Linked DNA regions of Kluyveromyces lactis. The protein of the gene in region 1 interacts with the protein of each later gene in a pairwise test. Links are inferred from orthologs where the notes say so. Each region holds a gene or a part of one and is shown on either strand. Other genes may lie near its edges.

The links.
Region 2: the proteins of NMD2 (region 1) and UPF3 interact in binary tests that used the Saccharomyces cerevisiae proteins (3 or more experiments, as listed by UniProt). The link is inferred for Kluyveromyces lactis from reciprocal best matches to the Saccharomyces cerevisiae genes NMD2 and UPF3.
Region 3: the proteins of NMD2 (region 1) and NAM7 interact in a two-hybrid assay, tested with the Saccharomyces cerevisiae proteins (8 studies listed by BioGRID, with this or other methods). The link is inferred for Kluyveromyces lactis from reciprocal best matches to the Saccharomyces cerevisiae genes NMD2 and NAM7.

Annotation. Positions count from the first base shown.
Region 1 is NC_006040.1:1,125,384-1,129,509, forward strand, and holds the start of NMD2 (Nmd2p), read right to left. Parts: upstream 2,890-4,126; coding exon 2,884-2,889; intron 2,801-2,883; coding exon 1-2,800. Other genes in the region: PEP7 (phosphatidylinositol-3-phosphate binding protein), read right to left, coding at 3,172-4,126. UniProt on the Saccharomyces cerevisiae protein: Involved in nonsense-mediated decay of mRNAs containing premature stop codons. It interacts, via its C-terminus, with NAM7/UPF1.
Region 2 is NC_006040.1:317,335-320,547, forward strand, and holds UPF3 (Upf3p), read left to right. Parts: upstream 1-1,390; coding exon 1,391-2,623; downstream 2,624-3,213. Other genes in the region: YNK1 (nucleoside diphosphate kinase), read left to right, coding at 520-978; KLLA0_D03740g (uncharacterized protein), read left to right, coding at 2,865-3,197; KLLA0_D03751g (uncharacterized protein), read right to left, coding at 3,187-3,213. UniProt on the Saccharomyces cerevisiae protein: Involved in nonsense-mediated decay of mRNAs containing premature stop codons.
Region 3 is NC_006038.1:566,446-570,807, forward strand, and holds the start of NAM7 (ATP-dependent RNA helicase NAM7), read left to right. Parts: upstream 1-1,462; coding exon 1,463-4,362. Other genes in the region: MBR1 (Mbr1p), read left to right, coding at 1-979. UniProt on the Saccharomyces cerevisiae protein: RNA-dependent helicase required for nonsense-mediated decay (NMD) of aberrant mRNAs containing premature stop codons and modulates the expression level of normal mRNAs. Also capable of unwinding double-stranded DNA and translocating on single-stranded DNA.

The DNA.
Region 1 (4,126 bases):
CGTCGTCCTCATCTTCTTCATCGTCTTCATCATCATTTTCTTCATCCTCGTCGTCGTCACTGACTTCTTCTGCACTACTCTCTAATGAATCATTCATATCCTGTTCATCGCCATTATCCGAATCAGAACTATCATCAGTAGCTGAGCCATCAGATAAGGAAGATATATCACTGAGTTCTAGTTGAGCTTCGTTTAGTCCCAAATCAATTTCAATGTTGTCAAGGACTCGTATAGTTCCATGTGCTGTATCAACTTCTTCCTCGTCCTCATCTTCATCATCATTCTCATCATCATTCTCATCATCATCATCATCGTCTTCATCATCATCATCGTCTTCATCATCATCATCTACATCTTCATTCTCGCCTCTACCAGTACTAGTCATGGCTTCGGCAGAAGTCACCCCCAGCTCCTTCAAAAGCAAGATAAGTTTTTCATAGCACTGAGACCAATCCGATGACCTCGAGTGGTCAGGGTATAACGCAAAGACATTTTCAACTTTGAATGAAACTTCATTCGGTAAAGGCTGATCCTTACAGAAGATGTAATACTCGAAAAATTGAATGAATATCTTTAGTTTCTTCAATGCAAATTCAGACTTACGGTTTATGCCCAATAAGATTGTTGAAATCAATGATATTCTGAAGTAGTTGTCAGGTAAGTCTCCTTCATTGATGAAGAAAGGATTAGGCTGCCCACTAGGATAACCGAAACGGAGAATTCGATACATCGTATCCAAAAGGACTTCAAACTTAAGGAATGAAGTATTGTATAGCTCTGTTAGGTACTTTACTTGTGAGACTCTGGCCATGTTTAGACTATATTCTCCCGATTCAAGCCCTACCTGAATCTTCTCAAGCAAAGTATCTACTGTTTTGATCGTAAAGCTCTTGTAGTGCTTGAACAAATACGTTAAAATATTAGCAAGTTTCGGTAGAGATTGATAGCTTACTTTTTCAGGTTTGCTGAACAGTGATAGTAATGTTTTCTCCACATTTGGGTCATTCCACGAAGCTTTTAGAATTAGTTTTAGGGCCGAATTGAGTGAAACATTATCTAATTCCCGACGGATCAAAGTAATAAAGAAAAGTTGTTCAGGTGAAAGATCTCTTTTTTCCTGGTTGAGTACGTTGAGCTGAGGCGGGTATATCAATATAATCAGATTGTCCAATGCAGCTTTATTGTTAACGGTTAATAAATGGTCCTTCTTCTTTTCTTTGATTAATACCATCATCTTCTCCATTTGGGGCTTGAATTCTGGCGTATTGATCAAGAACTTGCCGAAACTTTCAAACAAGGTCGACAAGATTTCGATATTATTTGGAACTGTAATATTCATCGCCAATGTCCTAATTTTATGGAAAATCATGAATGATGGTATTAACATAAATTTAACCATCTCCGCGAAAAAAATGATATTCTTAATATTGATTTTATTAGAATGCAACTGCGATCTGAAACCTGAGTCAAGGTATTGAATTAGTTCTTCTTTAACTTCAGAAAGATAATTCTCGTTGTTTGCCATGAACCTTGCATATAAAGAGATTTTACTCCAGTCTTTACATTCCACGAAAAACTTCATGAGTCTCTTTCTTGTCGCTTTGTTATCAAGATTTTGCAACCAGTAACGACGTGAAATTTCATCTATTTCATCTTTAGTCTCTACTGTCTCAAAATCAGCAAATAATGCTATAACGTCTTCTGGACTTGGTGTTTTTTCTGGGTCATAAGTAGCATAGGCGGCACTTAAATCAGCCAGATTCTCATAAAACCTCCTGTTTTCTTCGTTCTCCCAAATTGGCTCTTGCTTCTCCTTCCAGTCAGATGCAGGCGTAATTATGGATGGCTCCTGCTCTTTTAAACTTTGTTCTATATCTAAAAGTTCTGGTGGATCCACGTTAAAGGCTTCCGCTAGCGCCGTTGCAACCGTAGAGAACTTTTCAAAAATTGGATTAAGCTCATTAAAATCATCAAGATATTCACTGGATTCCTTACCAGTTCGTATTTGTGCTTTATGATGTTCCTTCATAAGCTTAATGGTTTTCTTATTCAATTCCACCGTCTGTTGGAACACAATATCTTTGTAGATTTTGAATAACGATCTCAAAAGAGTTTTCAACTCCTCGCTGTTGATTAAATTGTCCATATCAGATACTTCTTCAGAGAGTAATTCAGGATACTTCTTTAAGATCAAAATTGCTACTGGTGTTGTTAAAGCCTCCTTGAACTTATAATTTAACACCTCTCTTAATACTATAAACACGATTGGTTCCTTTTTGGAGTATCTTTTTACAACAAAAGGAGGCAATTTACTCTTGTTAAGATCATCTAAACTCGGCAGCACCCCAGTCAAATGTAATTCAATAAGTACACGAGTGCAAGCTTTCAAAACATTGGTTCTGGTGGTTTTATCCTTTTCAGTTTCGGCCTCATCAGAAGACGTCTCAAATATGAAAAGGAACGATTCTATCAAGGGTAACGTAAAATCCATATTGAACCGCTGGTGCAACCCACTTACTATCTCCACCACTGCAACAATATCATCACCCTTACCACTATTCTTAAATAATGCTTCATTTGTAGTTGTTATGATTTCTGATAGGTACTTCTCCAAAGATACCTCTCTGATATCGTTGAGTAAACCTGTCTTCGATTCCTTTGCAATACCCTGCTTCAACTTCTTAATGAAACCCGTATTCCTCTTAATACTAGAATCAAGTTTCTTGGCTTTATCAGGGAATACGTCAATCCCGGTCCACGCCATACTGTTAATTTCATTCAAGCTTGATCTCCATTCATTCTAAACACAAATTCAATCCATAAAAGCAAGGCTTTCTGTTAGTATTCTCGAAAACTCTCGACCACTTAAAAGCGTACACATACGTTCATTATGTTATTTGACGATTGGATAGGTTCAAAGTCGGTGCGTAAAGTTCTTGCTGTCGCTGTGACGTGATTTCAACAGAACTTTTGTTCGATGACTTTGGTAGAATTAACATTTCACAGGATTTTTTTTTTATTCAAAGGGCTTTCTCATACTGGCATCTCGACAATAAGTTACAGAGCGAAACGGATAGAGTTTTGGTTGCATTTATATTATCGTGCTTGTGATAGAAGAGTGTTTATATGGTTCAATAGAATATACACCTAATTGAGTGTTAAATAATAATTTTAAAAGCCTTCATCACCTAGCTTACTTTCTAAATGCACTATGTTCTGATCAATTTCTGAAAGATTAGTTTTCAAGGATATCGCTTCCTCGAAGCGCCTTTCCTTGGCAGCTGAATTAAGCATATTTTCGACTAAGTATCGTTGTTCATTCAAAACCATAAGTTCTTCTCTGTACTTCTTTACTTCCGCAATTGTTAAATTATTGAACAAAAGATCCGATGATGTTGTGACTTCTACTTTCTGTGACACAGGGTTCAAGATTTCTGGTATTTTTTTCAAGGGTAGCATTTTCTCCTCGATGAACGCTGATGCATGTAGGGCAATTGACTGTTGTATTTTCTTCTCTGCTGTTGATTTTGTATCCAACTGAACAATGCTTTTTGATAATTTGTCATAAAGCGTTAAATTTTGTAATAGCTTTCTTCTTAATTGTGCTAGGTTTTGAATCGCAGTCTCATCTGAAGCGGGTGCATTATGTATCGAATCTAATGCTTTCTGGAATCTGGGGAGTAAATTTACTACAAGCGTTTCGAGGTTGTGGAGATTTTCGTACTGTTGTAAAATTTCCGGTAGTTTCAATGCCTTACTAAATTGGAGCTTACGCTTTGCAAAGACATACCTCAGACAGGAGGAACAAATTCTAACTCCTGTAGAAAGGTCTGATATTGCTTTTAAGTTCCCGACATTCTCGAAGGAAAGGTCTGGGGCCGCACTCATCAGGTTCAGGACTGGAATATCGCTGGAACATCGAGTTTCTTGTCTATCGCACACGATCTGACCGCATAATCTACAATGATGTTTCCGCATCAAGAGTCCAAACGGCTGAGAGCATATGCCGCATTGGGTTGCCATTTGATCATCCTTCCACTCTACGATTGATCGTTCCAAAGCTATAATTCCTGCTCTGATCCTGAACGTTGCAAAGACCGATGACTGATGTCGTACATGTAATTGA
Region 2 (3,213 bases), about 810 kb from region 1:
GAGCCAGGTACAATGTTTCAAGAGACCATGATTTCCGTTTGTTGATTTTTCTTGTCACGTGATCGATAAAGTCACTTGAAGACTTGCCTCGACATATATCCATAAACACTCTTTGGGGTTTACATACAGTGTTTCGCCTAATCCCAACCTCCGAATGCGCTTGCTAACGATATGGACACCTTTCTGCTATTGTGTATGATGAACCATACTTTTACAGCTTCCTCAGTAAGAAGCCCCAAACATCAACTAATCAAAGTCACGTGCCGGAAAAATTTTCTCTCATTTTCGATTTTCCCCGGCATTTCTTCGTCTGCACCAATCTCATCGAGCATGAATCGGATCCTCATTCGTTGGCTCTCTCGAGAAATATTTCAATTTCGTTGATTTCAATTTGCAGTAACTTTCTTCTTTCCATGCACTTTATTTCAACTTCTGGGGTTAGCGATTGCTTATGTTCCATTGATTCTTAGTTCATAGCAGGATCGTACACAGAATCACGTATTAACTAACTCGAGAAAAATGTCTAACACTGAAAGAACTTTCATTGCTATCAAGCCAGATGGTGTTCAAAGAGGTTTGATCTCTAAGATCTTAGCTCGTTTTGAAGACAGAGGTTACAAATTGGTTGGTATTAAGTTGGTTACTCCAACCGAAGCTTTGTTGAAGGAGCACTACGCTGACTTGGTTTCCAAGCCATTCTTCCCATCTCTATTGTCTTACATGACTTCTGGTCCAGTTTTAGCTACTGTCTGGGAAGGTAAGGATGTTGTTAAGCAAGGTCGTGCTATCTTGGGTGCTACCAACCCATTGCAATCTGCTCCAGGTACCATCAGAGGTGACTTTGCCATTGAAGTTGGTAGAAATGTCTGTCACGGTTCTGACTCTGTTGAATCTGCTGAAAAGGAAATCGGCTTGTGGTTCAAGAAGGAAGAACTTATTGACTACAAGTTGAACCAATTGTCTTGGATCTACGAATAAATGTAACGTTGACAAATTGTTCACTTTATCAATACATATTCTTTCCCACAATTATTCCATATTTAAAGATGTCTTTTCTTATATGATGTGTATCTGTGTGTCGGTATTTATTACTATGTAGATATATCTCAAATACACACATTTTGAAATCCATTAAGCTTTATACTGCGATGTTGTATTCATATTTGTAACCCCGACTTGCGTTGGGTATATTCACGTTTCTACCAGCTTACTGATACGATTACGGTTCAATTTGCATTTATGTTTGTCATAGTATTATTTTACTTAATTGCACTAAAAAATTTCAGTTAGCACATCTGTTCTTCATCACAAATGCATCCCTAACGAAAACATGAGCTGTTATCACAATACCTCAGACAAGATCCTTCAGTAAAACTGCGTTCTTTCACGAATGCTCTCTAAGAAAAGAAATAGAAGGAGGTACCGGAAGAGGAGTGCTGACTCTTCCCGTGAATTCAAATTATGTATTCGATCTTTACCACCAAATTTAACAGAAGAGCAATTCATCAGCACTTTACAAGAGAACAACATCGATGTGCATTCATTTCAAAAATCATTCTACTACGTGCAAGGTCATTACTCCAGCAAGGTGTTCAAGAAACAGACTTTGTCTAGGGCATATATCCAATTGGACTCCTTCGAAACCATTCAATCGTTGTCAAAAACAATAAGAACATGCAGATTCATAGATGATTTGGATAACTCGATGATTCCAGATTTACAAATCTCGCCGTTCGTTAAGAAGTGGGTCAGTCCCAACGAGGTTAATCCTATTCAAGGCACGATTCAAAAGGACCATGTCTTTCAAACCTTTGTCAAATCATGGAAATTGATTAATGAAGATGAAACCAACTCATTACAGTTCAAGAATTTAAGTGTTATTGCACCTTTAAGAAAGGAATTAGAACGTGAAGAAAAAATGGAAGAAGAGTTAAACGGACGTAAGCAAAGAGCACTAATAGAATTGGCTGGTGATCCAACAAGCGAAGAAAAGAAGAAGAGGATCAAAAAGATTAAGAAAAAGTTAAGACTATTAGAGAAGAAGAGGAAGCTGAAACGTGCTAAGGCAAAGAACAAGGATAATCCGGACGAGAAAGATGTTTCTAAGGATAAATCAGAAGTTGAGAAGCCCAAAAAGTCTAAATCCAAACACAAATCCAAATCCAAATCTAAACCTAAATCGAAATCTGAACCGAAATCATCGAAATTTGACACTGCGACAACTGAGAAGAGTGCGGTAACATCCGAAGAAAAGCCAAAGAAGAAGATTTTGTTGAAACCAAAGAAAGATGATGTTCCCAAACCAGAGATGCCTGCAGATTCGGAGGTAACGAAGAGAGCAAGACGTAAAAAATCAAAGAAACATAAAGACAAAGACAAGGATGTAAAGAAGGATTTAACAAGCAAAGAAACAAAGGAAACTCCCTCTAAAGTTACTCCTAAGGTAAAAATAAAGTCTAAATCTGCCAATGTGGAGGAAATGAAATCGGAGAAGCGTAAGCAGGAAAACACTAAGCCAGAAAAAAATCCATCAAGTGAATCAGATAAGAAAGCTAAATCAAAGAGAAAAAGTAGAAAAGGAAGGCAGTCTGATGGACCTAAACACAAAGACAAACCAACTTAATATGCAGACATCGCACCAATGGATGGCATCTCGATATTTTGGCTTAGTTCTCTTTTACGTGCCCTTTCATTTATTCAAATGTGCAGAATATTATTTCTGATCTCTGACACTTGATATTTAAAGGGAGTGTGACAGGACTTTTTAATATTAGCAGCTTTGTGGACTAACAACAAATTCATTTTGCAAACTCAACTAAGGATTATTACACACGCATATCACTCGCCATAATTTTCATCGATCGATGGTGAATATTAGAACTACAGAATTAGAAGGAGATTTAGCACAGTTGACCTATGAACTTGGGTTGAAGGATAAGGAAGTCATGACTTTAAAGCAAAGTCTGGAACGCCTCAATGCTGAAGTCGAGAAGCTAAGAAACGAGAACAGAGGCTTGAAAAGCGAATTGGAACATTGGAATAAACTACCGATGAGTCCAATATCTTTGTCTTCAGAAAACGATCAAACTGAGGACGATAAAAACCGAATGATTCAAGAGAATTTGCGGAGAGAGATTCTTTCCTTGAAGAATGAAAGTAATATTTTATCAGAATGGATCAAGACCCTTATTTCTTGAATTTCTTCAAATAAAT
Region 3 (4,362 bases), on another chromosome or scaffold:
GGAATCAGATGAAGGAGTAAAGCCTTTAGTGTGCCATTGTGGTTGTCCCAATGAAAGAGGCTCCATATTTGAGAGATCAGTGCAGGACCCCTTTTGCTCTACTTTTTACAATGATGATCAAGAACCACTCGAGATACACAGTCGTGCAGAAGATTCACTGTATGAATTGAATCCATTGCAGGAGGAAACGCTGTACTATAAGATTCCCAGTGATAATGAAGAAGAGTTTCAGGAGGTAGAGCTTGGAGGGAACCCATTCCGTTCGAATATGATGCGTGGAGATACTTCTTTGAAGGGGAAAATTGGATCACCATCAAAGTGTGGTTGTGTGGTATGTTCGAACTGCCACGGGCTAAGGAAACCTAGATCGAAATCGTCCGCTTCTTACAATGGATACAGTTTCTCGCTAGATTCAAACCCAGTCTCAAGGACAAACAGTATAGTCATTCCATTGTCTAAACAACCCACAAGACAGAGCATTGCTTCTTCTGTTGGATGTCTAGATACAAACAATACCATAAATAATAACAGTCTCTCTTTTGGATCCCCAACTAATATCACTGACGAGGGCGCAATAGATCCTAAATCTTCCAATGGATCAAGATCGTCCATTAGCTTATCTACAAATGCCATTCCAACACACTTATACAGCTTGGAGAGATACGTAAGTTCTGAATTGGATTCAGCGACGGAATCCTTCTTTGATAAGTCAAAACAATTGTCAGACGAAGCTTCAACTCATGGAACAGAAGACACCGTCTCTTCATCGTTGGCAAAAATGTCATTACGAACTTCACCTCAAAGTTCAAATAGCACAATTGCCAATCCAAACACCTACACTAATAGAACCATACCAGAAATACCGTCAGGAACTCAATCAATTAACCAATATTCATCTTCACATCCACCACCATTTTTGGACGCAAGAAAAAGAAGAAAGTCTTTCATTGAACAGGCTTTATCAGAGAGTTTCTCATAATAAAATTCACAACCCCAGTCTTCAACCACCCTCAGTTACCCCAATCATAATCATCAGTATACCCTCATGCATCAAATATATAAACGTAATAGGACATAGACTGTCACCTAATCACTATTTAATTACCCGACTTTTGCATGCATTTGCTGATTCTTTTTTTTTTTTTTCAGTTTGTGTACTTCACATCTCATCTCACATCTCATCAGAAAATGCATCAACTTCCATACATAAAAGTATTTAATCATAATATGCTTCAACAGTTATTATTTCCTATATCACTTTATCTGTATTTTCAAGAAGTTCTGTAAATTGAGCATCTATCAATGTGCTGAGTAACATATTTTGATTTGTGACTCTGACTCATTTCTTGCGAACTTTTTTTTTTGGTTAGTTCGATCTATTCTGTTCAAAGCTATTCTTTGAAGTAGATTGTACACGACTGGTGCCTTTATTATCTCAGTACAATTAGAATCAAGTTTCCTTATGACGATGCGTTTGCCAAATGAACCGTTTGATTCAGATTCGGACTCAAACGAATCTGTTTCTTTGAGAGACGATGACGACAAAAACTTTTTCTACGATACTGATGAGATGCTGGACGAGGAATACTCTGAGTTCCACGGCACTGCTGCTAATACAGATCCTATTGCGGAACATGCTTGTGCATATTGTGGTATTGATAATACTTCATGTGTTGTCAAGTGTAACATTTGCAGCAAATGGTTTTGTAATTCGAAAAATGGTACTAATAGTTCCCATATTGTGAACCATTTAGTTTTATCCCATCATTCTTCAGTTTCATTACATCCAGACTCAGAGCTAGGAGATACTACTTTGGAATGCTACAATTGTGGACGTACTAATGTGTTTGTTCTTGGTTTTGTTCCGGCTAAGAGTGAGGCTGTTGTGGTCTTGTTGTGCAGATTGCCTTGTGCTAAAATGAAGAATGTTAATTGGGATACAGATAACTGGCAACCACTTATTGAAGAAAGGAAGATGCTATCTTGGGTGGCAGAAGAACCAAGTGAAGAAGATCAGTTGAAGGCCAGGATGATTACTCCATCTCAAATTACGAAATTGGAAGCAAGATGGAAATCAAACAAAAACGCTACAATTATGGATATTGATATGGTCGAACAAGATGAAGATATTCCTCCGACTTTGATGAGATACACTGATGCTTATCAGTACCAAAGATCATTTGGTCCTTTGATTCAGTTAGAAGCAGATTATGATAAGCAATTAAAGGAATCACAGGCCTTAGAACACATCTCTGTCACATGGGATTTAGCATTGAACAACAGACATCTAGCTACTTTTGCATTATCCACATTCGAATCTAACGAATTAAAAGTTGCCGTTGGTGATGAGATGATTTTAAAGTATAGTGGTCCACAACATGCAGATTGGACAGGAAAAGGTTTCATCATCCAGCTACCAAACAGTTTCAAAGATGAATTTACTCTTGAATTGAAACCAAGTCAAAAAACTCCACCAACTAATTGTACTACAGGATTTACAGCAGTTTTTGTATGGAGGGGAACTTCTTATATTAGAATGCAAGAAGCGTTAAGAAAATTTGCTGTCACCAAAAAATCATTATCAGGGTTCTTGTATTATAAGATATTGGGCCAAGAGGTTCCAGATGTGGAATTTGATGTAGAATTACCCAAAAGCATTTTTGTGCCTCACTTCACCGAGTTAAACCAATCTCAAAGTAATGCTGTGAAGCATGTTTTACAAAGACCTTTATCATTGATCCAGGGACCTCCTGGTACCGGTAAAACCGTCACTTCAGCTACCATTGTTTATCATTTGTCTAAAATCCACAAACAGCGTGTTTTAGTTTGTGCACCATCTAACGTTGCAGTGGATCATCTTGCTGCCAAGTTGCACAGTATGGGTTTAAAGGTAGTACGATTAACTGCTAAAAGTAGAGAAGATGTGGAGAGCTCAGTGTCCGAGTTAGCATTGCATAACTTGGTCAGCAGGTCTGCAGAAGGTAAACTCAAAAAACTTCTCAATCTTAAGGAAAAAACAGGGGAACTTTCCTCATCGGATACCACGAAATTTGTGAAGTTAGTGAGAAAATCAGAAGCTACCATCATTCAAAAAGCTGATGTTATTTGCTGTACTTGCGTCGGCGCTGGTGATAAAAGATTGGACTATAAGTTCCGCACAGTATTGATCGATGAAAGTACTCAAGCGTCAGAACCTGAATGTTTGATCCCTATCGTCAAGGGAGCCAAACAAGTTGTTCTAGTTGGTGATCATCAGCAACTTGGTCCTGTCATTTTAGATAGAAAAGCTGGTGACGCTGGTTTGAAACAATCTTTGTTTGAAAGATTAATTTCCTTGGGTCACATTCCTATTAGATTGGAAGTCCAATATAGAATGAATCCACAATTAAGCGAATTCCCAAGCAACATGTTCTACGAAGGTAGTTTACAGAATGGTGTCACCATCGAGCAACGTACTATTGCAAGATCTACCTTTCCATGGCCAATTCATACTATCCCTATGATGTTTTGGGCTAACTATGGTCGTGAAGAGATCTCAGGCAATGGTACTTCCTACTTGAACAGAATTGAAGCCATGAACTGTGAAAAGATCATTACAAGACTATTCAAAGATGGTGTCAAACCAGAACAGATTGGTGTTATAACTCCTTATGAGGGGCAGAGAGCATATGTTGTACAATATATGCAAATGAATGGTTCGATGGAAAAATCATTGTACATGGGCGTTGAAGTGGCATCAGTAGATGCTTTCCAAGGTAGAGAAAAAGACTATATTATTTTGTCTTGTGTCCGTGCCAATGAGAGAAACACCATTGGTTTCTTGAGTGACCCACGTCGTCTAAATGTTGCGTTGACTCGTGCTAAATACGGTCTAATAATATTGGGTAACCCAAGGGCACTATCTCGCAATAGCTTATGGAGTCATCTACTACTTCATTTCAGAGAAAAGGGTTGTCTTGTTGAAGGGTTTTTGGATAATTTACAACTCTGCACAGTCCAATTGACGAAACCTTCTAGGGCACCCAGGAAAGCCCCATCCAACAACAGTAGTTATACACAATATGCTGGTCAGAGAGACTTTGACACTCAAAGTTTGGTCTCATTCGGTGGCCAAAACGTCGTTGAAAAATCTTTTATTCCAAACACGGACTTGTCTTCGTTATTGAACCAACAATATTGGAATGGACAGTCTTTTGATACACAATCGCGCTTAAGTGCTACGCATCCTGTTAACCAATACGATAAAGACGCGGTCAATTTTGATGGAAGTTTATCCAATGGCTTAAGGAAGTACAATGGAGTGGGCTCAAAGTATCAAACCATTGATGAAGAATCAACGTTAAACATACTCAAGAGTTTGGA